Lepisosteus oculatus: one gene and its partners. The protein of the gene in region 3 interacts with the protein of the main gene of each other region in a pairwise test. Links are inferred from orthologs where the notes say so. Each region holds a gene or a part of one and is shown on either strand. Other genes may lie near its edges.

The links.
Region 1: the proteins of prpf40a (region 3) and ccnl1a interact in binary tests that used the Homo sapiens proteins (3 or more experiments, as listed by UniProt). The link is inferred for Lepisosteus oculatus from reciprocal best matches to the Homo sapiens genes PRPF40A and CCNL1.
Region 2: the proteins of prpf40a (region 3) and ubqln4 interact in a two-hybrid assay, tested with the Homo sapiens proteins (2 studies listed by BioGRID and IntAct). The link is inferred for Lepisosteus oculatus from reciprocal best matches to the Homo sapiens genes PRPF40A and UBQLN4.

What each region holds. Positions count from the first base shown.
Region 1 is NC_090708.1:4,677,185-4,684,511, reverse strand, and holds the start of ccnl1a (cyclin-L1a), read left to right. Parts: upstream 1-4,283; 5' UTR 4,284-4,341; coding exon 4,342-4,581; intron 4,582-4,971; coding exon 4,972-5,046; intron 5,047-5,759; coding exon 5,760-5,869; intron 5,870-7,327. Other genes in the region: ankrd67 (ankyrin repeat domain-containing protein), read left to right, coding at 1-219. UniProt on the Homo sapiens protein: Involved in pre-mRNA splicing. Functions in association with cyclin-dependent kinases (CDKs). Inhibited by the CDK-specific inhibitor CDKN1A/p21. May play a role in the regulation of RNA polymerase II (pol II).
Region 2 is NC_090722.1:2,987,264-2,995,220, forward strand, and holds the start of ubqln4 (ubiquilin-4), read left to right. Parts: upstream 1-4,913; 5' UTR 4,914-4,981; coding exon 4,982-5,125; intron 5,126-7,957. UniProt on the Homo sapiens protein: Regulator of protein degradation that mediates the proteasomal targeting of misfolded, mislocalized or accumulated proteins.
Region 3 is NC_090707.1:11,846,824-11,854,667, reverse strand, and holds the start of prpf40a (pre-mRNA-processing factor 40 homolog A), read left to right. Parts: upstream 1-4,826; 5' UTR 4,827-4,913; coding exon 4,914-5,036; intron 5,037-6,460; coding exon 6,461-6,541; intron 6,542-6,673; coding exon 6,674-6,799; intron 6,800-7,844. Other genes in the region: arl6ip6 (ADP-ribosylation factor-like protein 6-interacting protein 6), read right to left, coding at 384-516, 3,375-3,428, 4,063-4,402.

The sequences.
Region 1 (7,327 bases), on a different chromosome or scaffold from region 3:
AAGACCGCCCTGCACCTCGCCTCGGAAAGGGGCCACAGCAAAATGCTGAAGCTCCTGCTGGACAAGGGGGCCGACGCCTCGCTGGAGACGCACTGGAAGGAGACGGCTCTAGACCTCGCTCTGGAGAACAAGCAGTCCGGCGCTCTGCAGGTCATTCAGGGATACAGCAAGCCTCATCCAAAGCCGAAGGTTAAACACGTGCTATTCAGTTTGCAGTAGCGCACGGGCTTTTACAGAGAAAACTAGATGACGGAATATCGAACTGATGAATTCTGCAACACGTCCATGTGCTTTTTGTGCAACACTGCTAATGGGATGCTAAGATTATTCTTTCTAATGTTGTGAATGGGAAATCAGAGCTCTGTACACGGACTGTGGCTATATGGACGTTCACCAGCACAATTGTGGGGTCACAAATCCCCCCAAAACAGAGAGATGATTAAAAGCGTTTTATGAGTTAACAAAGAAAACGTGAAAACAACTGGCGTCCATGTTAATGTTTTCTTATTTCATATTCTATACACTTCCGTGAATGGTGTTTTTGAGTAACACAGTCTACAGAAAAATGAAAACCGGAAAATAATTAATAAAAGAGGAATTTCTGTTTCCGACGTAATATTACATTCAACACCTCCTCCCACCGAAGAAGGCTCCACAGCCGAAACGTTTCTTTTCTTCTCTTTTCAGCATGGAATAAACCTTTACTTGTTCCTTTGCTGCCTTCCTAATTGTATTTAATTTTAAAAAATCAGTTCTACTGTAACTCCCAACTCTAGTGAAATTGACATGATATAATCAGAGAGAATAACTCCTTGGGTTAAGACCAGGTTTTATTGTTAAAATAAATACTTAACCACAGGGTAGTGAGTACTCAGTCTGAAAAAGTCTTCTTGTTTTTCCACTCGCTTGTGTTTGCCCACATTGTTAGGATCTCAATTAAACAACTGGGCTGATTTTCAGGTTGAACGAGTTTTACCTGTTCGTACCCCCTCACTATGACTTTTTGAGTATTGGGTAGAACAGGAAACTCACCCAAATGGTCCTCAGATCGATCTCCTAATGAAATGTAGCCCCCAGCTTGGTCATTGTCAAAGTGTTGGTTTTGTATTCTCTGAACCACAGGCTTCTTCTTCTTCTTCTTCTTCTTCTTTTTCACAGCCTTAGTCCCAGACTGTCCTGGGGTCAGCTGCTTTGGTTGCTCTTCTCCATTTGTCTCTGTCGAGCACATCTTCCTCACTCACTTCACATACCTCCATATCTTTTCTCACACAATCTATCCATCTCTTTCTAGGCCTGCCTCTTCCTCTGTTACCTTCCACCTCAAATTCCATTACCCTCTTTGTTACTTCCTCAACATCCCTCCTCATGATATGTCCATACCACTGTAACCTCGCCTCTCGCATCTTCTCAACCACATCCACCACCCTACATCGTCTACGGATTTCTTCATTTCTGATCTTATCCTTCATTGAAATCTGCAGAATCCATCTCAACATCCTCATTTCAGTTCTTCTCATCAAGTTTTCTTCCCTCTTTCCAACTGCCAAGCATTCAGCTCCATATAGTAGTACAGGTCTAATCACAGTCTTGTACATTTTGCACTTTAACTTTCTGGGAATTTTCCTGTCACAGATTATTCCAGTTATCTCTCTCCACTTGTTCCATCCAGCTTTCACTCTTTGTTTTACTGCCTCCAGTGTTTCTCCTCCCTTTACCAGTTTTGATCCAAGGTATTTAAAGTCATCAACTTGTTTCAGTTTTCCTCCATTTGTCTCCTCAACATTGGTCATAGTATCTATTCTCTGAACCACAGGCGTTAAACCAAATTTTGATTTTATGTCTAGTCTAAAGCTTCATTTTTAGGAAACTCACTTCAGCAGTGTGCTTGAAAAGTGCACTTATAAATGACTAATTTGCTGCATTCATGTGTTTAGGAGTGGGATCCGAAGACAAAAAAAAAATCACAGGGACCCTTAACATGTAGGTTTGTACATTTGCAGTGCACCATTTGAAATAATGATAGCAGTTCAAGCAAGATGTAACCTGGCAAGCAAAAAAAATGAAACCATAAGATCTTACAAGGTCTAGGAATCAGTTTTTTTATTTTTCATAGTGTTGCAGGTGGCAAAACTGTTAATTACAAATATAAAAATGGAAAACATTGCACTTGGCGTGAAATGTGAAACATCTGCTTATGACAAACGACAGGTGTTTTTAGACTATTTTCACCCTCTAGGCTATGTGGAAGTGATAATGAAGACAAACTGAATACTTACACGGTTAAAAGAGAAGAATTAAAATCATGGAATGTTTTGTTAAAATTGAACAATGAACTAGTATTACCTACTTTAGAATATTATATACAATTTAGCTCACCGTGTTATGCAAATTATGTTGTAGCTCTAGAATCACTCCAGAAATTAGCAATAATTTTAGTCTGAAGCCTGGAAGACTGAGGGATCCTTACTAATTTATTGAAAATGCTCAAATGCACTAACAAAGACAACCAAATCGACTCAGAATCAATAGAGAAACATGAACCACATGATACAGATGGAAACTAGGGAGGTGCATTTTTAACAAAGAACTGGAGGCACTTTTTACACAAAGGACTGTGGGAGTCAACCATGTTGTTGAAGCCGAAAATCCGGTTTCTTTCAAGAAATGGCTGGATGAGATCATCCCATTAGCTACTAGCAACCAAATTTTACTTCTAAATTTTTTTTTTCTTCTGGTTAAAAGACGAGAAGTCCACCTTCACTACACATGCAATGTGTGACACTCGTAGATAAAAGTTAACTGGAACAAAGAAATGACTGCAAAGGAGTTGTTTAATCAACCACCCAACATACGTTTCACCTTTTGCCACTCGCCTGTATACCTGTCCTTTTCAAAACACAACTTTTACTTGACTTTGAGGAACCAAATATATTTGGTACGTGCTGTCCCTCTCAGCTCAACCGCACACCTCCGCCAGTCTTTCACCGTTTTCCGTCTTGTTTTAAAAACTACACTGGCCGAACTCCGCAACAAACTTCAAACTCGCTTCCTTGCCTACCGCCCCCTAACGTTGACTTGCTTCGTACGGGTCTTAGGAAAGAGAAGCCGGAAACCGAGCACAAAAGCCGGTAAGTGACGACAGCGGCTGGCGAAGTGGGCGTCTGGGCACCGCGGCCGCCATAACGCCGCTCGGCTTACGTCGCACAGACGTTTCCCAGGGTCCATTTCGCAGGAAAAGAGCGGTTGACGTCACACGGCCGGAGCGGCGGCGGAGTGATATGTGCGAGGTCGCGGGGACTTCCCCAGTCACGACTGGGTGGGTGAAGGGTTTCAAAAGGCGTTTTGCGTGCTACTCCTCGCTGGCCGACAGCAGTGACCACAGGATCCCGAAACAGTAGATTATTGAAATGCACATGTCGTTAAAAGTGTTGGCTTGGAAGACGGGGAAGGGGAGACGCTTGACATGTAAAATCGCGCAGACAAAAACGACTGCATGAATTGAAATTGCACTCGCATGTAACACAGAATGTGCTTGTAAATCATTGACAGCTTTATTAAAAAAAGTCAGAAAACAACAATCAGCGCAATTGATCGCCCCTATAACGGGGTGAGATATTCCTGTGAGGACAGCATGTCTTCTGGTCCTACTGTATTGTGTCGTGTTTTCAGTCATTAGAGTACAGCACACACGCTGGCTCACATAGAAACAAAACAAAAGCATCACAGAATCGATATTCTTAATATTACACATTTAAACATAACAAGAGGCTTTTATCGTATCTTGGGTTTCAAAAACGTCCTCTCTTCATATCATTTTTCAGTTTGATAGAAGTTAAAAGTTACTCCTGTACGCCGTCGCTAAATATCATACACTTGTAGCTGTATGATCAAGTTATATTATGGGTTTTTTTTATTTAAACATTTTAAAACAATAAGAATCAGATAAAACCCCACACGATACAAAAAACACCTCAAAACTGAAACAAAGAAACACCAACAGCCAAAGAACAGCGAAAACTTGCTTGTGCCCCTTTATTGTCAGTTTTGTTTTCATTATAATAATTAAAAGGTGTACAAATTATATAATTCCAGAAAAAGTGTGTGTAAAGCCATCTGTGTTGAACTGAAAAACGAAACAGTCCTGTTTTCATTCCACGATTTAACTTTGGAAAATCTACAACAGGAGTACAGGGACTACTTCCTCCCCAGGTTGTATTTATTTGCGGGCGGATACAGTTCACCGCGCCTGGTGTCGGTGTTCTTCGGCTTGCCTACGTCACCGCTGTCCCTTTCCTACTCGCGGTGCGGGTGCCGAGTTGAGTACTTTCGACTGATGCTAAGATGGCCGGCGGTTCTGTCTCTGCTGTCCCCACCATCCCTGCCGCCAATGAAGGGATACTTATCGGCGACAAGCTCTACTCCGAGGTCTATCTCACCATCGACAACTCCCTCATCCCGGAGGAGAGGCTCTCCCCAACGCCGTCGATGCTGGATGGCCTCGACCTCCACGCCGAGACCGACCTCCGTATCCTGGGCTGCGAGCTGATCCAGTCGGCCGGCATTCTGCTCCGGCTGCCACAGGTATGTGAGAAACCGACCCACGGCGCGGCAGCGTTCGTTTTCTGGCTGTTCTTTTTCTTATTATTTAAGAAAATAATTTAGTTTGGTTCATTTCAGGGTTTTTTAAAGCCACCTGTCCCGTAGTTTCCATTGTCCATTAAGTGTGTAATACCCCCCAAAACAGGCATCAGTGCCCGATAAACACCGCAGAACACATATTATGATTGCGATAGTAGTTACTATGCTTTTCTAGAATATTTCCCCGGTGAATCGCGATCCGCGGGAATGCGGTAGTGTTGTCTTTTCCTGTTGGCGAAGAGGCTATAAATGACAAAATGGCGGGCGCCATGTTGTGCAAGACGGGCCGTTGTGATGTCGTTTGTGACATTCTTTTCCCTCCTCGTTCTGTAGGTGGCCATGGCTACGGGGCAAGTGCTTTTTCACCGGTTTTTCTACTCGAAGTCCTACGTGAAACACAGCTTTGAGGTGAGTTCTTTTGTCCTCCCGTGCCTGAACTAGCGGTGCGCACTTTCGGCGGAGCGCCATGTTGTGTAACACGTTTCCAGTGAGGCTGGCCTCGCTCGGGAAAGCACGCAAGACGGCGATTAAAAAAGGCGGCAGCCGTGGACTTCGAAATAGAAGTCCACGAAAAAGATCCGCGTTTTAAAGCCGAGGTGGTAGAGTGTAACTAAAAAGCGGTGGTTGTTGTTTTTTTTTTTACTTCGTAAGAGATGCGCAAGAACAAAGGCCGGACTGTCGCCCTGCTCGATGGTTAGTTTTTAAGGTGACTTCGGTGTATGGATGTACGAGGTCTAATTTATTTGTACGGTACACGTGATATATCGATGCATTTGATCGCGTGATTTGCGAGTTAATAGGGCGAGGAAGCGAAACTAAAATTGCCGGATAATTCAAATGACGTCACCACATTCTTCCGAGCAGCCGTTAGCAGTAGGTGTGGGGGCCTACATCCGGTGAATAGGCCCAGCGTGTTTTACAGCCCTTTGTCTCAGCGTTGTGCACATAGGATCTGGAATATGTACCAAGTCCAGATAAGATGGGGTCCAAAAGGATTGCAAGGGCATGCGTGAAGATCCGCGTTAAATGACAGCCCCCCCTAAAGTGTCCCGATGATTTCTGTAAATTGCTGTGTTTCTGCTGAGGACCCATGTTGCCTAATTAAAATGACTTGTTTTCAGATTGTTGCCATGGCTTGCGTAAATCTCGCCTCAAAGATTGAAGAAGCACCAAGGCGTATAAGGGATGTGATAAATGTGTTTCATCACTTACGGCAGCTGAGAGGAAAAAGGTAAGCATTATTCTAAAGTCCCTCAATTGTGTAACCTTGTTCCTCAATTGTCAGTTTTCTCTCCCCCATATCAGGTTTTTTTTTACAGTTTTAATTGCTCTCATTTTTGATGTAAGTTAAACTATCTCTTAAATAGACTTATTAAAATCTGAAACATCTTGAACTTATGCACTACTGTTTTGTAAGTAGACTCCAAATACTCTGTAATATGCTTTTCCCTCTCTATAAACTTTGAAATTAATTGGCAAGTAATCTTTTTTTGCTCTCTAGATTTTTTTGTAAGCCATCTTAAGTTTTTATTTTTGTATATGCTAAATGCTTACCTAGTGTGGTGTGTTTCACTGTCTAATAGTGACTGAAATTTGGGTTACCATCTTAAGAATTGAATATGTTATTCTAGTAAGTGAGAATTAGTGAGCGAATTTAGTTAGTACATGTTTCGTCCTTACCTTATTTTTGTGTTAACTTGTTCAGGGTAAAGTTAGGCCATGGTATTAACTTCAGTTCTTTTTTCCCTTGCAACCAACTAACAGCGACCAGCTACATTTACCAAAGCCTGGGTGATGTGGAGTGGTACGTAGAGATGAAGCTGTCGGCATGGCAACAGTGAATTCCCCATGAAGAAGCCAGTGGTCTGAGAACGGGTCACTGGAATCGGGGACTGTCAGGTTGGCCGCTGGTGAAAGCGTCTGGAAAACTCCTGTATCTCAGTCTAAGCTTTAGTCTTTGCTGTCCAGGTGGTACATTTGCAACACATGCCATGGCTTTCACAGAAATACATTTCGCATGTACGTCTTGTTTATTTTTTTTAAGACCTCTTGATGAAGTATCCCCCATACATGTTGAAAATTGACATTGGGATTCTGCCACAAGGTTTTAGATTTTGAAACTAGTGTAGACTTAATGTCCTGCCTGCGTTTGTGAATAATTCAACTGGTATAAGAGCACCATTATAATGTACAATATTCATAAAATCAAATATTTTTCACTTTTGCTGCATTAATTGCTAATTTTCCATTCAGTTTTCCAGAATACCCTTTTTAAACTGAAGAGAGGATTTATTACATAAGTTGTCTTGTGTTTTAAGTACCTAATTGATGGGTTTTCCTGACGAGAACCTGACAATCCCATACTTGAGCCGATTTGGTTTGAAATTAAGGGTTGAAGTTAATGTACTTTTAATATTAACCTTTTCTTGTTAAAACCGAGTACACCCTAGTGTCCATTTCCACCTTGGAATTGCTTGCTTAATTGAAGACTTTGAAATGGTTCTTCGGATTGTAGAAAGTGAAACGTGCCATTACGTGTAGTGTAGAGAAATATCCGAAAAAGACAAGTATGTTTTATTTGTAGTACTTTTGTGGCTATCGCAATTGCAAACGGTTACACAAGGTTAAAACATGACCTCTTTAACTCATTCTTTAATCCTTTGTATTTTCCTTGAAGTGATAGGGAGCA
Region 2 (7,957 bases), on a different chromosome or scaffold from region 3:
TGAAGCCTGCAGTATGGTCATGCTTTCTTGCCAAATTGTCTGTTGTTTTTTTTGGCTGACAAGCAAGCAAGAATCCACAGTCAGAGATGAAACAATTAAGATATTCTAAGGGGGTCTTGTTGAAGCAGAAAATACTCTGCTTATATGTGTAAAACTGCACATTCATATATGCCGTGTCATAAAAACGAAATATGACAATGGGTCACATTTCTAATTCAAATTATTGTGTGCTTATACGATCTCACCTGTGTGCCATTTACATGCAGGTCTAGATTAAAAAGACCAATATCTCATGAGGGTATTCAGGAATATAGTGTATCTGTAAAAAGCTGTCAGTGTTACTAGGTTAAGAAAATTTTAATTTATCAGGTTGAAAATTAAAATAGGTACTTCACGGATCAGTACCATTCAAATTAAGAGGCAAAAGACATGAACACAGTGTGTTAAAAAAATAATAACTAAAAATGCAAAGAACATAAAATGGATAAGCTTTATTACATATCCAGAACAAAATCCTGATGTTAAAAATATTCCTCGCAGTACAATTTATCAAAGGCTCCACTGTACCAGGCTTTCAATATAGTTGACTGAATACTTCACCTAATATTATAAACACCTTATGCTAAAACAAAATGATTAAGAGAGAAAGGTTTGGAATTGCATATGAGGACAGTGTTTAAAACATGTTAAGATTAATAAATTTGTGTTGTTTCTGTATGCCTTTAGCTGGGGTACAGACTGAAGGTGAGGAATTAAGACAACAGAGTTCATCTTACATTAAACAGGCTGGTTTGAGCTGAAATAAAATGCCAGTTTGGCACAATGAACACTGAAAGCCAGGAAGCCACGTAGAATCTCACAAATTATGATATAGTAATATTAATATCCTGGCACCTGGTTCACCTGCTAACTCGCAGTAGATGTATGGTTTGTGTTTTTGATACATAATTAGAACAATACAGTTAGTAATGAAGTTGCTGTTTAAATGATCATCTTGACAATGAGGCAAAACAAAGTTACATTGTTATTATTTATCCTACCACCAACCCTGTATACATGACCAATAATACAATGGAAATATGGTATATAAGCATGGAAATGCATCCTATTCAGTCAGACCTGGGGTGTGTGTGGGAGTTCGTACTGTATGTGCTCTCACAGTCCAAAGATATGCTGGTGGGTTAACTGGCTTCTGTGAAAACTGGCTCTGGTGTGAGTGTGTGATTGTGCTTGTGTGTGTCCGGCGTGGACACACTTTGTGCCTGTTGCATGCTGGGATTGACTCCATCGCAACCCTGAATTGGGTAGAAAAAGGATGAAATGTAAAACAGCCTTCTGCTTTTATACAGTGTTTGCATTATTTCCAGTCATACCTCTATATCCGCCTTTATTTCCTGAGGTGCCTCAAGCGATGGGGGATGCCAGTACCTGTGTTGGTGAACTTCTATCGCTGCACCATCGAGAGCGTCCTCACCAACGGGATCACCGTGTGGTACGGCAGCACCTCTTCTCGAGAGAGAAAGGCACTGCAGGGAATGGTCAATGTGGCCCAGAAGATCATCGGCTGTGGTCTCACCGAGATTAAACAGCTCTATGAGGACCGCTGCCGTGGTAGAATTCTGGCCATCACAGAGGACAGTCACCACCCCGGGCATGAGCTCTTCACCCCACTGCCCTCAGGCAAGAGATATAAGAGCATACGGACACTTACCACTAGATTCTTCAATAGCTTCTATCCACAAGCAGTGAGACTGGCGAACACATTTAGCCATCCCCCTCGGACCACACCTACACCATCACCATCTACCTCATTATGATTTCTTGTCTATTGCACATCTCCAGTCACTGTTTACACATCTGTATTGTTTACATTCAAACTGTCTACATGTTTACTTGCACATTGTCTATTGTTTTTTTGTATATTGTCTTGATGCACTGTTTGCACTTTGTTTTAGTTTTTACACTTGTTTTACAATCGAGAGACTTTCTGTCAGTAAGAATTCCATTGTACCAGTACATGGACCAGTTACATATGGCAATAAAGTTCAAGTTCAAGTATATGTCTAGGAAAAGAATCACTTGGGATACTGATTGGAACTAAGCCCATATTGTGTTTTTGATGGTTTTAATTCGCCTGAACCATTAGAAACTGGAAATAAAAAAAACGTGCAGAATAAACCACCACAAGGGTGAATACATAGGGCATGCATAAGAATCCTTTGGCCATGGTACACACAAATGGCAGATCAATTATACAGGAATTATAGGGATTCTAAAAATGGTGTTAAAATATATTGGCTTATACACTTGTTTCTGTGGCCAAGCGCATGAATCAGTCTCACAGTTTTCTCACATACAATTGCTTGACATCAATATGTTGGACAGGTGACTAAATACTGATCTTTCTCAGACATTTCTTTAAAATGACAGCATAATTTGGGCGGAATGGTGGAGCACTGATCAAAATTGTTGCCTCGCAGGGCAGGGGTCCTGGGTTCAATTCTGGACCTGCGGAGCTGTCTGTGTGGAGTTTGCATGTTGTCCCTGTGTCCGTGTGGATTTTCCCCAGGTGCTCCGGCGTGTTCACTCACGATTACTCTGGATTTACGACAGGTGAACTCCATCAGTGGTTCACGTCCAAATGTCTCTCCCTCTTGCTTGTTAGAGTAAGAGGCATTAAAATGGGCAGTTCATCACTGCAGGAGTCATAATGAGTCCAATATATGATGTCCTGTAATAAAGAGCCAGTCGGTTGTCTTCAACTAGATGTTTCCTGTAACTGTTTATCTCTTGCATTGGTTTTTAGTTTTGGGGCAGTCTTTGTCACGAACACGGACTGAGATCCGTGTCGGGTCTTGTAGTAGACCCTATGCGATGCAGTAAGAGCTGGAGAAAACAGGAGGCGTGGTAAAAGGAAACACACAGGGGTTTAATAGTGCACAGAATAATAGTGACAGTCCGTGAGACGGTGAACTGGGGAGACAAAGAATGACATCCAAATCCAAACGGGTCCAAAGGCAGATCAGGGCACAGTCCAGGAGTCCATCAGCGAGTTATCCATCCTGGGACGCGACGAGGTTAAAATCCCCGGTTAAAATCTCATGTATTATATCAGGTATCCCATGTCTTCCGAAAACTTTCCGCAGTTTCTCCTAAATGAAACTATCGCTCCCCCCGTCTCATGCAAATGCATGAAAAACCTCCAGAGAGATACCAGCTCTGCTTGTCCCTTTGTTCTTTCTCAGTCTTAGGATTCTCCAGGCGGTGGCAAACAACTGGCTGTTTAATAATTTTGAAATCATACAAAAATGTGCTACTTTTAATGTACATTTGGGTGCATCACTTTTACCTACTTATGTTGTACTTGTAACGTAAGGTAACCCCATGAAGTACATTTTGTTTTACTACTATATATACTTTATATGGCCAGCAGCCATCTCACCCTGCAACTCACGACTGGCAGCCCACTGAAGCTCAGCAGGAGTGAGCCTGGTCAGTAGCTGGATGGGAGACTCCTGGGAAAAACTAAGGTTGCTGCTGGAAGAGGTGTTAGTGGGGCCAGCAGGGGGCGCTCACCCTGTAGGCTGTGTGGGTCCTAATGCCCCAGTATAGTGATGGGGATACTATACTGTAAACAGGTGCCGTCCTTTGGATGAGACGTAAAACTGAGGTCCTGACTCTCTGTGGTCAATAAAAATCCCAGGGTGTTTCTCGAAAAGAGTAGGGGTGTTACCCTGGCGTCCTGGCCAAATTTCCCATTGGCCCTTACCAGTCATGGCCTCCTAATAATCCCCATCTATGAATTGGCTTCATTACTCTGCTCTCCTCCCCACTGAGAGCTGATGTGTGGTGAGCGTTCTGGTGCACTATGGCTGCCGTCGCATCATCCAGGTGGGGCTGCACACTGCTGGTGGTGGAGGGGATCCCCATTACCTGTAAAGCGCTTTGAGTGGAGTCTCCAGAAAAGTGCTATTATTATTAATTAAAAAATTATTATTAATTATTATTATCTGGTACATTGAAATTTTAAAAGGACTACGAATCTTATTGCTGCCTAGGTTCTTAAGAGGAAAAAACAAGCAGGATCCACATACTTCAGTATTGTAATAGTAATGTGACTTCACATTTCATATAGTATTGTGGCATAGAGAGAATGAGCAGACAGCAGGCGAGCTGCAGCAGTAAGGAGAGGAATTTATTGCCCTTTTGTGTACAGAGGTGCGCTATGCTAGTTGCTGCAGGTGGGGGATGGGAGTAGGGGCTCACAGCTGCAAGGTTACCCCTAGCATGCCACCAGGGACAAGAGGGAGAATGCCTCAGGGTCCCCCCTTATATAGCTCTCCTGGAAGGAAGGGGAGACTGCTGGGAAGGGTCAGAGGGCGACGGTCCGGTCCACTGCTGGAGGGGGGGGGAGCAGAACGCTGCAGTATTTTATAAACGTATTTCAAAAGCACTTTTTCCTTTTTACTGGCATTCATTGTTCGCCACACACTGCCCTTTCCTTCAAACATTCTCACACGCTGATACGGTGTGTTTTTGTTTCAGAGGATCTCACCGGATCTTCAAATGACACTACACAATCTCATAAGAAAATATCAAAGAAAATTCAAAGCATACGGTAAAGTAAGTAACTCAAGATGCTTGTCTCTTGCCCATTTGCCCTGTGTTCTTTGGGGATTTTCTCTGGGTGCTCCAGTATCTTCCCACCTTCAAAAAGACATGCAGTCTTGGAGTCTCTGAATGTGCAACCTGCGATGGACAAGATGCTCCCAGATGGACGCCGGGATGTGGCCATTTCCGGTGTCATGCATGGCTTTAGGTGTAATACCTCCTCCTCGCCGCCAGAGGCCCCCCCAGCGGAAGCGAGGCCGTTGCGCTGGGCCGGGCGCTGGGATGAGGTAGGGGCACGGAGGGGGGGTTCTTACCTCTTGCCGGCTCGAGGCTGCTCGTCAGTGACTCAGTGATAACAGGAGGAGTAAAGATGGCGGACAGCAGCGGCACAGACCCCGTGAACAACAACAATAACAAAAATATCGCCTTGGAAGGGAATATTATCAGGGTCACGGTCAAAACCCCGAAGGACAAAGAGGAAATTGCGATCGTGGAGGATGCCTCGGTTACACAGGTCTACCCTTTTCGTTATAAAATGTGTCTGTGTGTTTCGTCGCCGCAGTCGGGTGCGCGTCAGCGTGTTTCTCGGTGTCTCTGGAGCTGGCGCTGCGAAATGAATGGCACGGGAGGGACGGACCTCTGTAGTCGCCCACCTCCATTTCTTATACTTCCACCTCCAGAGTAAAATGTCTGGGAGGCAGGAGGATAAGCCGGGGTGCCTCATCTAAAGCTGGCGGGCGATCCGTGCCCAATCGTGAAAAGGCTCCGACAGAGCCCTCCTAGGCTGCGTGCTGTCACGCGTCTGACAAGTTGCTCGCCATGAAAGCTGAATTCACCCAGATCCCTTCTTGTTTTGAAACATCAGCGCTCGTAATTGAATGCTGATCTCCATGCCCCCACCCCCTGGATGTTGTGTAGGCCTGCGGGCGACAGCAGCGCCTTGAATGTTCTCGACCGGGGGCCGAAACGGGCACGACAGTGAGACGGTCCACGGGTCACTAGGCCTGGAGTTCAGCCGGGGCTTGTCGATCCCCCCCGCTAACCCAGAGGTGGGGAGTCGGTCTCTGCTGTTCGCCTGTTGCCCCGCAGACCTCTGCAGCAGGCGTGGGGGTTTGATTTTTCCGTCTGCGCGGTCAGCGTAGCCTCTAAGTGCCGGTTTTTCCATCTTGGCTTGCGGTGGGTGGGACGTGACCGATTCACGTCTCACGGAGTTGAGTCTGAATGGAAGATTGCAGTTTTCTATCTATGCCGTAACGAGCCGTGGCCAAAACTCGCCTGCAGGACCCAGCATCTGGCTGTTCGATCAAGATCGGGTTGGCCTTATAAGATACCTGCTGAACGGCATCACCTTTGCGTGGGGGTGGGGGTGAGGGACAGTGTCTCGCAGGTCTTTCACCTGGGAACCTGTGATCGCCGTGATTAGTGGAACCGGCCTGCTTGTCGGTTCGTGTTCTGTCTGTCCTTCTCTGAGGTTTCTGTTCTTTGGGCGAAACTGGCTTATGGCGCAAAAGGCTGAGTCATTTTGAAAAATGTGTACTAAAGCTCACGTGAAAGGTGGTAAGATCGTGTCATCTAAAGCTTTCAGAACCTCAAGGCGGATCGGGTTTTTTTTTATTCCACAGTTCAGATTCGTCATAAAGTTCATAGCTCTGCAATAGCGCGATCGTCCCCTGTTTGTGAAGATGAGCCCTTTTCCCCCGTTAAACATGTCAGCTAGCTGACATCATGTCAGTTACAGAAGTTAGTTGTCATCCATTTTAAAAGGTGATGCACCGAGCCCCCGCGTGACCTGCAGTGCTGTTGTTGGTGTGAAAGGTCTCTCTGTGCATTGTCAGAGGTCTAGTAATGTCCCGTGTCCCCGTGCTCCGTCTAACACTAAGCTAGCTCATTTTGAGCTCTTGGGAGCAGATGGATACATCCCAGGCTTTTTTTCACGTGCTCCGTTATAATCTAGATGTGATTTTTAAGGAGAATCTCTATTTTCAAATATAGGCTAAATCTCACGGGTTTTCATCTCACACAATAATCAACTTTACTTTTATATAGCGCCTATAAAAGTGGCTTCTCAAAGCAGTTTACAGAACAGCAAACCCAAATAAATACACATAATAGATGGGGGTATGGGATACAGTAGGGAAGTAGAGGGAAGCACACAGAACCAGTTAGATAAGATGAGATCACTTGATTAGCCCTATGGCCCTATTTGTCTTTTCGCATACCCCGATTTGCTCTCCATGACGCACACAGATAGGGAGAGAGAAGCCTGGGGTCAGAGCGCAGGGTCTGCCATTGTACAGCGCCCCTGGAGCAGTTGGGGTGAAGGGCCTTGCTCAGGGGCCCAACAGAGTAGGATTCCTCTGCCGGCCGCGGGATTTGAACCAGCAACCTTCCAGCCACAGGCGCAGATCCAGAGCCACCGCTCCGCCCCGAAATACTGCATCCTCAGCGAGAATCGTACCCCTAGACCAACGAGCAACAGTTAAAAGAAAGCCCTTCACATTAATAGCGACAGGCAGCAGCTCCCACCTTGTAGCCTGATGTAATCTCCACTCAAAAGCTGAGCTGAGTTTGGCCTGATCAGTACTGGGACTATGGAATCCAGACTGCTGTTGTGGTGCTGCAAGTGTAAGCAACTCCCAGACCAGGGCCCCAGTGTGGTGATCAGGGGCCCTGTGCTGTCGCAGCTGCTGTCCAGTGAGTGAGACCTCAGACTGAGGTCTTTTACAGGTCCCAATGACACCATGCGTTACAGTCCAGTTGTTGGCTCTGTTGTCCAGGCCTACATGAAGATCCCCCTTATCTCAGCTGGTGGAGCAGTTTCTCACTTTTCCACCTGATCCTGGTCCCCTTTTCTATATGTCTTTGGGAGCCTTTGAAGTGAAAAGTGCTGTATAAATTCGGTGAATTCATCGGCTGTATTAAGGAGACCTCATTGCCCAGCTTAATGTCTCCTGTGAGGGTAGTTACCAGAGGTTAGTCCTGTTTTTAAGACATCAGAGGAATGGTCTTGGAAATGTTGGCTGTTGAAGTTCTAGGTAGATGATTAGAGGTGAGTATCTGGCCACATCGCAGGAGCAGGTTTCCTGGAATCTGTAAAGTAAGAGCTGGGGGGAGGTCCTTGGACATGAAGCTATTCACAGACTAACGCAGCTGATAGGTTTATTCCATGCATGGAATAAACCTATTACTTGTTCCTTTGCAGCCTACGCATGCTGACGCAGCTACCCACCTGAACTACTAACGCAGCTGATGCCTCTCGTCTGTAACCTCTCTGGCTCTTGCGCCTCGGAGCTTGGCTGTTTGTGCTGCAGCACTCCACGGTGTTGGTATTTTGTAGAAATAGTGA
Region 3 (7,844 bases):
TAAGAATAAAGCACTGTTATGGAGGTTTACTGTAAAAGAACCCTCAAAGAGACACAAGAAAAAAATATGATAGTAGATTCTGTTATTATTTTAATACTGGTTTACATTAGAACAAACAAAAATACTGAATAAACTGCAGGATAAAGCTTCTATTTCTGTCAGTATTTCTGTCATTCTGAAGATGACGTTATGTCATTCTCAGTGCAGAAGATATTCGACACAGTCCAATAAATCTCCACCTGTTACGCTAGAAAAACTTTGGAAGTAAGAGATATGCTTACCTTCTATGGCTGATTAATTTTTTTGGCCTGTGCTAACCATGATTTGAGTTTTAACAATGAATCTGGGTTAAAATGAAATCCAAAGTAATAAATGCACCATACCTATACCGAGCCGGGGACAGAGGAGTTGGTGGGAACATGCCAGGCTCAAAAGAATCGAAGTACGTCAGGGTCCACGAGAAACTGCAGCATGAGATCCCAGCTATCACAGACAAAATCAGCAAACTCCAAAACCCTGTACGAAATTTAGAATGAAACAACAAAAATACACAAAATACCATCAGGGGGTTTCTGCTATACAGTAGTTTCCCAATTGACACAGATGAAATCAGAAGTGGGTTGAAATAGTTTTAAGATTGTGTTCTGGTTGCGCATGACTGATGGCCACTCGATATTATAGGCAGCTTCTACAAAAACAACGTCCTGTAAAGCAAGTGATGACATTCATTGGAAACATTATTTTAGCCAGCTGGTTAAAAATGTTAGAACTACATACTGTAGAGGTAGAAAAAATCATAAAGGAGCACTAAATACTTTGAACTAAGGCTTCTCTTAACCTCTGCTACAGTATATCCTGGATGTTCACAGTCACAGCCAGCCTGCTGCTTTTACTTTTGAAAGCTGTATTTAGCTGAGGAGAAACTGCAAATATGTTTGCTAAAATACCTGCATGACCTCATACAGCAGCCCTTGAGGAACATGCAAAGGTGAAGAGCTGTGCACAACTGCAAGAATCTGCAACAAAACGACACAACCTGCATTCAACCCTATTCATCAAGAAGAGACTTGCCAATCACACCCACTCCAATCACCATCCCTTCAACTCCATTAAACTCCCTTGTTGAAGATCTCCTCAAGCACTTCAAAACTCTCACTTTCAAAGACCACGAAGAACGTGAACAGGGGAGCTTGAATGAGTTTAATGAACAATTTGTGGCAGAGGTGTGAGTAGCAGAACTTTGATAAACAGCAGAATACAATCTTGAAATTTGAACAGTGCTCACAAAGGCATTTCATACAAGTCATGTAAACACCTTTACATTCACTCTTTATAAAAATAAAACTCAAGAGGCTAGGTAAAACACCAAGACTTACAAAGACTTCTGATTGACAGAATTAATGTTTTTTTTGCCTTCCGTTTATCCATATTATTCACTAGAAACACAAAAACTCTCTCTCTCTCTCTCTCTCTCTCTCTCTCTCTCTCTCTCTCATGGGAACACAACAATAGTTAGAGGCCATTCATACTATTTTGCTCTTTTTCAACTTTAAACTGTACAAAAACTCTATGACTAGTTCATACACCCTTTCTTGGCTCAATAACTTTACTTTTAAATGACATTCACGTGCTTTATTGTAGTTCAAGCAGGTATAGTAGATGCGTCAGCAAGCGTAGGCTGCAAAGGACAAAGTAAAGATTTATTCCATGCTCAATAAACCTTTACTTGTTCCAGGTGCTTTGTTGGTTGACTTGCATTAAACAATGTTAAAACACACCTTGTTCTTCATCAAAAACCCTCTGTAAGACACACCATGTTACATCATCACTCTTTACCAGAGCAGAGTCTGTGGATTTAAATTGCTTTAAAGATTCTAGCATTTGCACACAAGTAACATGAGCTCTTAATCCGATGCATTTTTCTTTTAGCTGAAATCCTTAATAACCCAACTGGCATTTTATGTAATCATTCTATACATCTGTAAATAATTTCAGTAACGTGTGAAATTTGCTCCTACTGTACCATATAAAATATTACAATATTTTATTTTTTTAGACATTTTTCCACCATTTTTTACAAACCAAAACTATTCTGAAATCACTGTTTTCTAAGAGACACTGTTAACATACAGTACGTTTTTTACTCTGGATTGTCATATACATGCACAATTCATACAAAACTAGCTCCCACAGACGTCCCAACAAGATATCAATAATTACATCTATATTTTCTAATATTAAACAAACAAAATGAAAGGGAACTACTGCTTTAATATTAATAGATGCAGTGAGAGTGCCTGTATAGTTTAGCAACCTCCATTCATATGGAAAACAATCCCATGATATACTTCCACGCACTAACCCTTCTTCAAGAACTAGTGCACTTTCCATGTACTGACATTCTAATTGTCCTGGAATTCTAGCTTTTCTTTAGAAATTTAAAGAATTAGTACATTTTCGCCACAACACTTTCTCCTAAATGAGATATTCATCCTATCCTTATCATACCATCTAAATAATGAAATAAATTATTCTTTATATATTATATATTATAACATATATCAAAATAACACATACTTAGCAGTTAACAGATAAAGGTGTTTTAAAAAGATACAATTACAATGTACAAATTGCATGGTAGTGTCTGTGCAGCATGCCTATTTAACCTTAAGGTGACAGAAACCAGTAAGTTATAATAATAATAATTGCTTACACTTATATAGCACTTTTTTGGACAAAGGGCTTTACAGGTAATGGGGACTCCCCTCCACCACCACCAATGTGCAGCATCCACCTGGATGATGCGACGGCAGCCATAGTGCGCCAGAACGCTCACCACACATCAGCTATAAGTGGGGAGGAGAGCAGAGTAATGAAGCCAAATCTTAGGCCATGATTGTTAAAGGCCAATGGGAAACTTGGCCAGGACGCCGGGGTACACCCCCGGTCTTTTCGAGAAATGCCCTGGGATTTTTAATGACCACAGAGAGTCAGGACCTCGGTTTTACATCTCATCCGAAGGACAGCGCCTGTTTACAGTATAGTGTCCCCGTCACTACACTGGGGCATTAGGACCCACATGAGCCGCAGGGTGAGCGCCCCCTGCTGGCCCCACTAACACCTCTTCCAGCAGCAACCTTAGTTTTTTCCAGGAGGTCTCCATCCAGGTACTGACCAGGCCTACACCTGCTTAGTGGGTTGCAGGGTGATATGGCTGCTGGCACTAGTTGAAAGAAAATAGCTGGTACCGAGAACACATGGAGAATTGCATGCTTGTTCTTATGGGTCAGTTTTAAATTCAAACATACAAAATCAGAGGACATTAGAACTACGGTTATTTCAACTGAAGTATTAGTTGTCTCAGTGGTTTTTACCTAACAGGTTTATCTCTGTGCCGTCTTCAGTTGTTAACGTCTCTGAACGCAAGTCTGAAAGAGAATGAAATGTACCAAAGTGTAACGTTATACTACATAACTAACGTTATGTACTAAAAAGACATATCCTTAAAAAACAAGTTGGCACTAAAAACAAGGGTAAGATAGGCTAATTTGCTTCCGTAAAGTTGCGTGACGTCGTGACATTAATTGTACATAGTATACGAAAGCGTATTGCTGTCTGCATGGAGATGTTATAATTCAGTTTCTTAATGAAAAAAATAAATAAAAACGGTGGGAAATTCGTTTACCGTGGTTTTGGCAGGTTTTTACATACTTTTCGTGCTATTAAATTATGAAAGTAAGACACGACCCAGAGTTGAGATAATTACTCAGTAGATTAAGTTAATTTTATACCCCATCATTATGTCATGCACGATACACCCAGCAGTCTTTGCCATATTTAGTAAAATAAATCCTGAGAAATAAGAACATTGACATAAACCCGATTAAATACAGCTTTTTCGCGTCTTGAATGCGAAAGTAAATCTAATCTGAATCTACCACAGAAAATGTTTTTCAACTGCTACCACAAGGTTAACAATTAAGCTAGTCCTGTAGCCCTTACTGTTGAAACTGTGTTTCAAATTAGGCGGAAAATTAATACAAAAAAGAACAAGATGGTTACCTTTTAAAATAACATAGAAGATCGCCAAGAGGAATGCAATGGCGGAAAATATAACTAAACAACAAATCATTGAAAATATTCTGGCTGGCCACTGTCTTCCATTTCTCAAGTATTTTTTATGAGGTACTGCAATCGTGTTTGTGCGCAACGGCATCTCTGAACTTGCTGGTAACGGAGCGCGGCTGATCATTAAAGTCGAATTTACGTCTAACCTAGCGGGGTGCTCTAAAGTCTCCAATTCCTCGTCCAGACTTCGCGTAACATTGCCTGATTCCCAGACCACAGAGTCAGACCCTTCAACTGCCTGATGAGCGCTGACCCGTCTAACACCCCGAGGCATATTAAAACAGCAATATCACAACTGATCTGCCGGACTGACTACAGTAATTAACCAAAGGCGCCTTAATCAAAAAATGAAAACGTTCTGATTTCAAGAAGTAATAAAAATAGAAACAAAACCTAAGAAGTTAAGTAATGGAGGTCTTTTTGAAGTTACCTAGCCATCTAGGAAATTTTACATAGGCTCCTGATTTTATTTGAATGTTTTTTTTGAATGATTCTGTTTCTGTTTTATAACAGTCTGGGCTAACACACGGTCAAAGAAAGCAATTACAAACACTACACATCATGCTCCGATCACCGATCTACATTCATCCCTCTCTCCCTGTTGCTATTTTCATTCTTTCAAAACATCGCGGCGCTCACTTCCGCAATCCTTCCACCATACGGAAACCATTTTCCACTCATATCGCAAACCGCCAATCCTGACAACCGTTATTGCTGTAAAAGGCGCTGCTATTGGCTACTTTCGATGTCAATCCATCGCAAAGCGTGTTCAATTGAGCCACACAATGACTACAAATGGCCTCGATCAGTTTTTAACTTTGCCCTTTCAACCCGGAGCGAATGAGCCTATTGTGTTGCAGTTTATTGCCGGGTGGAGAAGTTGGGTTAGAGAGTACACAGCCAACATGGTGAGTAAAGTTTGTGATATACTTTTTCATATATTTTACGCAGACTTTATGGTATATACAAAAAATAACAACAGATACTAGGAGTGAACATCTCTGTCATTATTTATTTAAATGGAAAATCAGCCCTTGCCTTTTCACATTACAAGCTTAACCATCGTTTGTGTTCGTGTTAGGGATTTCCTGCAATTCAGGGGACCCCTTTATTGAATAGAAAGGGTGTTTTCCCTCGGAAATCTCGGATGTGCATGATTTTTTATGGACTGTATTTCTATATAATGGTTACGGAGGCTCGAGACTGCAGATAAATAAATTTCCGAACTGCAGTGACTCGACATAATGTCTGGGCCTCTTATGAACGCGATAGTTTTTTGAAAAACAGCATTTGCTTAGAAACGTTTTCGCGGTATGTCCCTGTCGTTTATGTAAGGTTTTACCATCAAATTGGCACAGAGGTGGTCAGTGGGGGGTGTATGCGCAAAGCGAGGATACCGATTGAGCCCATAATCCTATAATTTAGGAGTGTGCAGCCCCTCGTTGAAAAACCAGAAATGATCAACAAATCGAAACAGTTCTGGAAGTTGTTAATGGGATTAAAATAGTGAATGGAGATTTAAGATAGTACTATGAGCTTGATTAAATGATAGACTGCCCTAGAAACTCAGTTTTGGTGCTTGGAAATTTAATATAGATTTAATATGTAGCTGCAAATGAGCTTTTTAATACATTTCAGTGACCGATGATTGTATGTTAAATCATTAACATTGAATCCTGCCATATTTTTCGACGGTATATGTTTTTTTTTTCAGCAATTGCTTCAGTTGCGAGACCTGTAAAGAAACGTACCTAGTCGTGCCTTTTGTTGATCTCGCAATATATGGGAAATTCTGAGGCAATGTCAAGAATGCTGATAGACGTGATCTTGAGTAGTTTAAATGAGTTAAAAAAAACAATGAAATGGCCATGTTTTCATCTGTGTTCCCTGTTCTACTTCACTGCTGTGTAACAGTAGTAATGTTGAATGAAGGAGTAGTTAACATCTAGACAAAGACTAGAAGCCAGTTTGGACAAATATACAGTATTCAGCGTGCCATTCAGGTTCAGATGCATAAGATTGACCACAAATACTTCTTAAAAGTAGGACAGACTTTAAAACATTTACTATCCTTAGTGAAAACTTCAAATACTCGTGAATTACAGAAAAAAAATGATTTGCTTGAATATGCAGATCTAGGGCATTCTTTCTTACTGTTGCACAAATGGTTCTGAACCACTGATCTCGATTTTCCTTTATAGCTAACTCTGCTATTTTTTTTTGGGAGGCTTTGAGTTACAATACTTGTTTCAGGTTTTGACTCCAGTACCTCCCAGTGTTCCAGCGTAGACACATGCAGTAATAACTGTATGGAGTTTCTTGTTTATGACAGTCTTCAACAGATGGTAATAATGGCCCGAGCCAAGCGGCACCTTTCCCAGGTGTCCCACCTTCAGGGATGCCACCGCCATTTGTAAGTTGGTGTTGGACAGTTCATTTATTCTTGAGTGTTTCAGTTTAGTTCTTCTTTTTCCCTTTGACAGCGGAAAATAAAATAATTCTTACCGGTTTTGTTTTTCTTGTCTTGTCTTCTGTGTGTTTTAAGATGGGACCACCTGGAATGCCACCTCACTTCCCTCCCATGGGAATGCCGCCCATGGGGCAAAGACCTCCAAACATGGCGCCCATGCCGCCGGGAATGATGCCTCCGATGATGCCACCAATTGGACAGGTGGGAGAAATATAATGCTCCTTTCAGTTTGCTAAATAGAACACAGCACCTCAGAGCCTGAAGATGTTTTATTTTCATTCAGTCCCTCTCCTAACAGTCGTGGTTGTTTTGCAAACTTTACTAAATCCCTCCATCCGTCTGTTTTCTAATTCCATCGATTCGCTGTCTCAGAGGACCTGGACTCTGGCTCGGCAAGTGACGGGCGCAAGCCAGGGTCATATATACGTGGAGGTTATATGTTCTCCCCATGTTCACCCGGTGGAAACCCATGTAATATAATAACAATGTTTCTTTATTAGCCCTATACAATTTCTTGCATTAGGAATGCGTCTTTTCGCATACCCCAGCTTTTCTCCACGGAGACACAGACACACAGACAGGGAGAGAAGCTTGGGGTCAGAGCGCAGGGTCTGCCATTGTACGGCGCCCCTGGAGCAGCTGGGGGTTAAGGGCCTTGCTCAGGGGCCCAACGGAGCAGGATTCCTCCGCCGGCCGCGGGATTTGGACCGGCAACCTTCCAGCCACGGCCGCAGATCCTTAGGCATAGAGCCACCGCTCCGCCCTTTTTTTTTTGTGAATGTGGGGAGAACATACAACCTCCATACAGATAGCACCCCAGGTCAGGGTTTGAATATTGCACTCCAGTGCTGTGAGGCGGCAGTTTTAATCAGTGTGCCACAACTTTGCTCAATCAACTTTGGGGGGGAAAAAGATTCACTAGGATGTTAACACTTGTTTTCTTATGTCTAGTTGTAAAGGGCAACTGCAACACTTTTTTTATATTTTGGGGTTAGAAAGAATCAGCATTGATGAGTGCATTTCAACAAACATTTCTGACAAGGATTTTAAGTTTTTGTCATTAAGACACCTCCTTAGACCTGGCCTGTGTACTGTGTTTACAGTATTGTTAGCAGGATCATTGACTTTTCTCCTCCAAATATATTTTTTTTGGAGAGAGTGAGCATTGCTTAAGTGCTTTTAGTATGCTCATGTGTGACCTTACTAGAGTGATTCCTCCTTCACAACATTTGTAAATGTTTTAGGC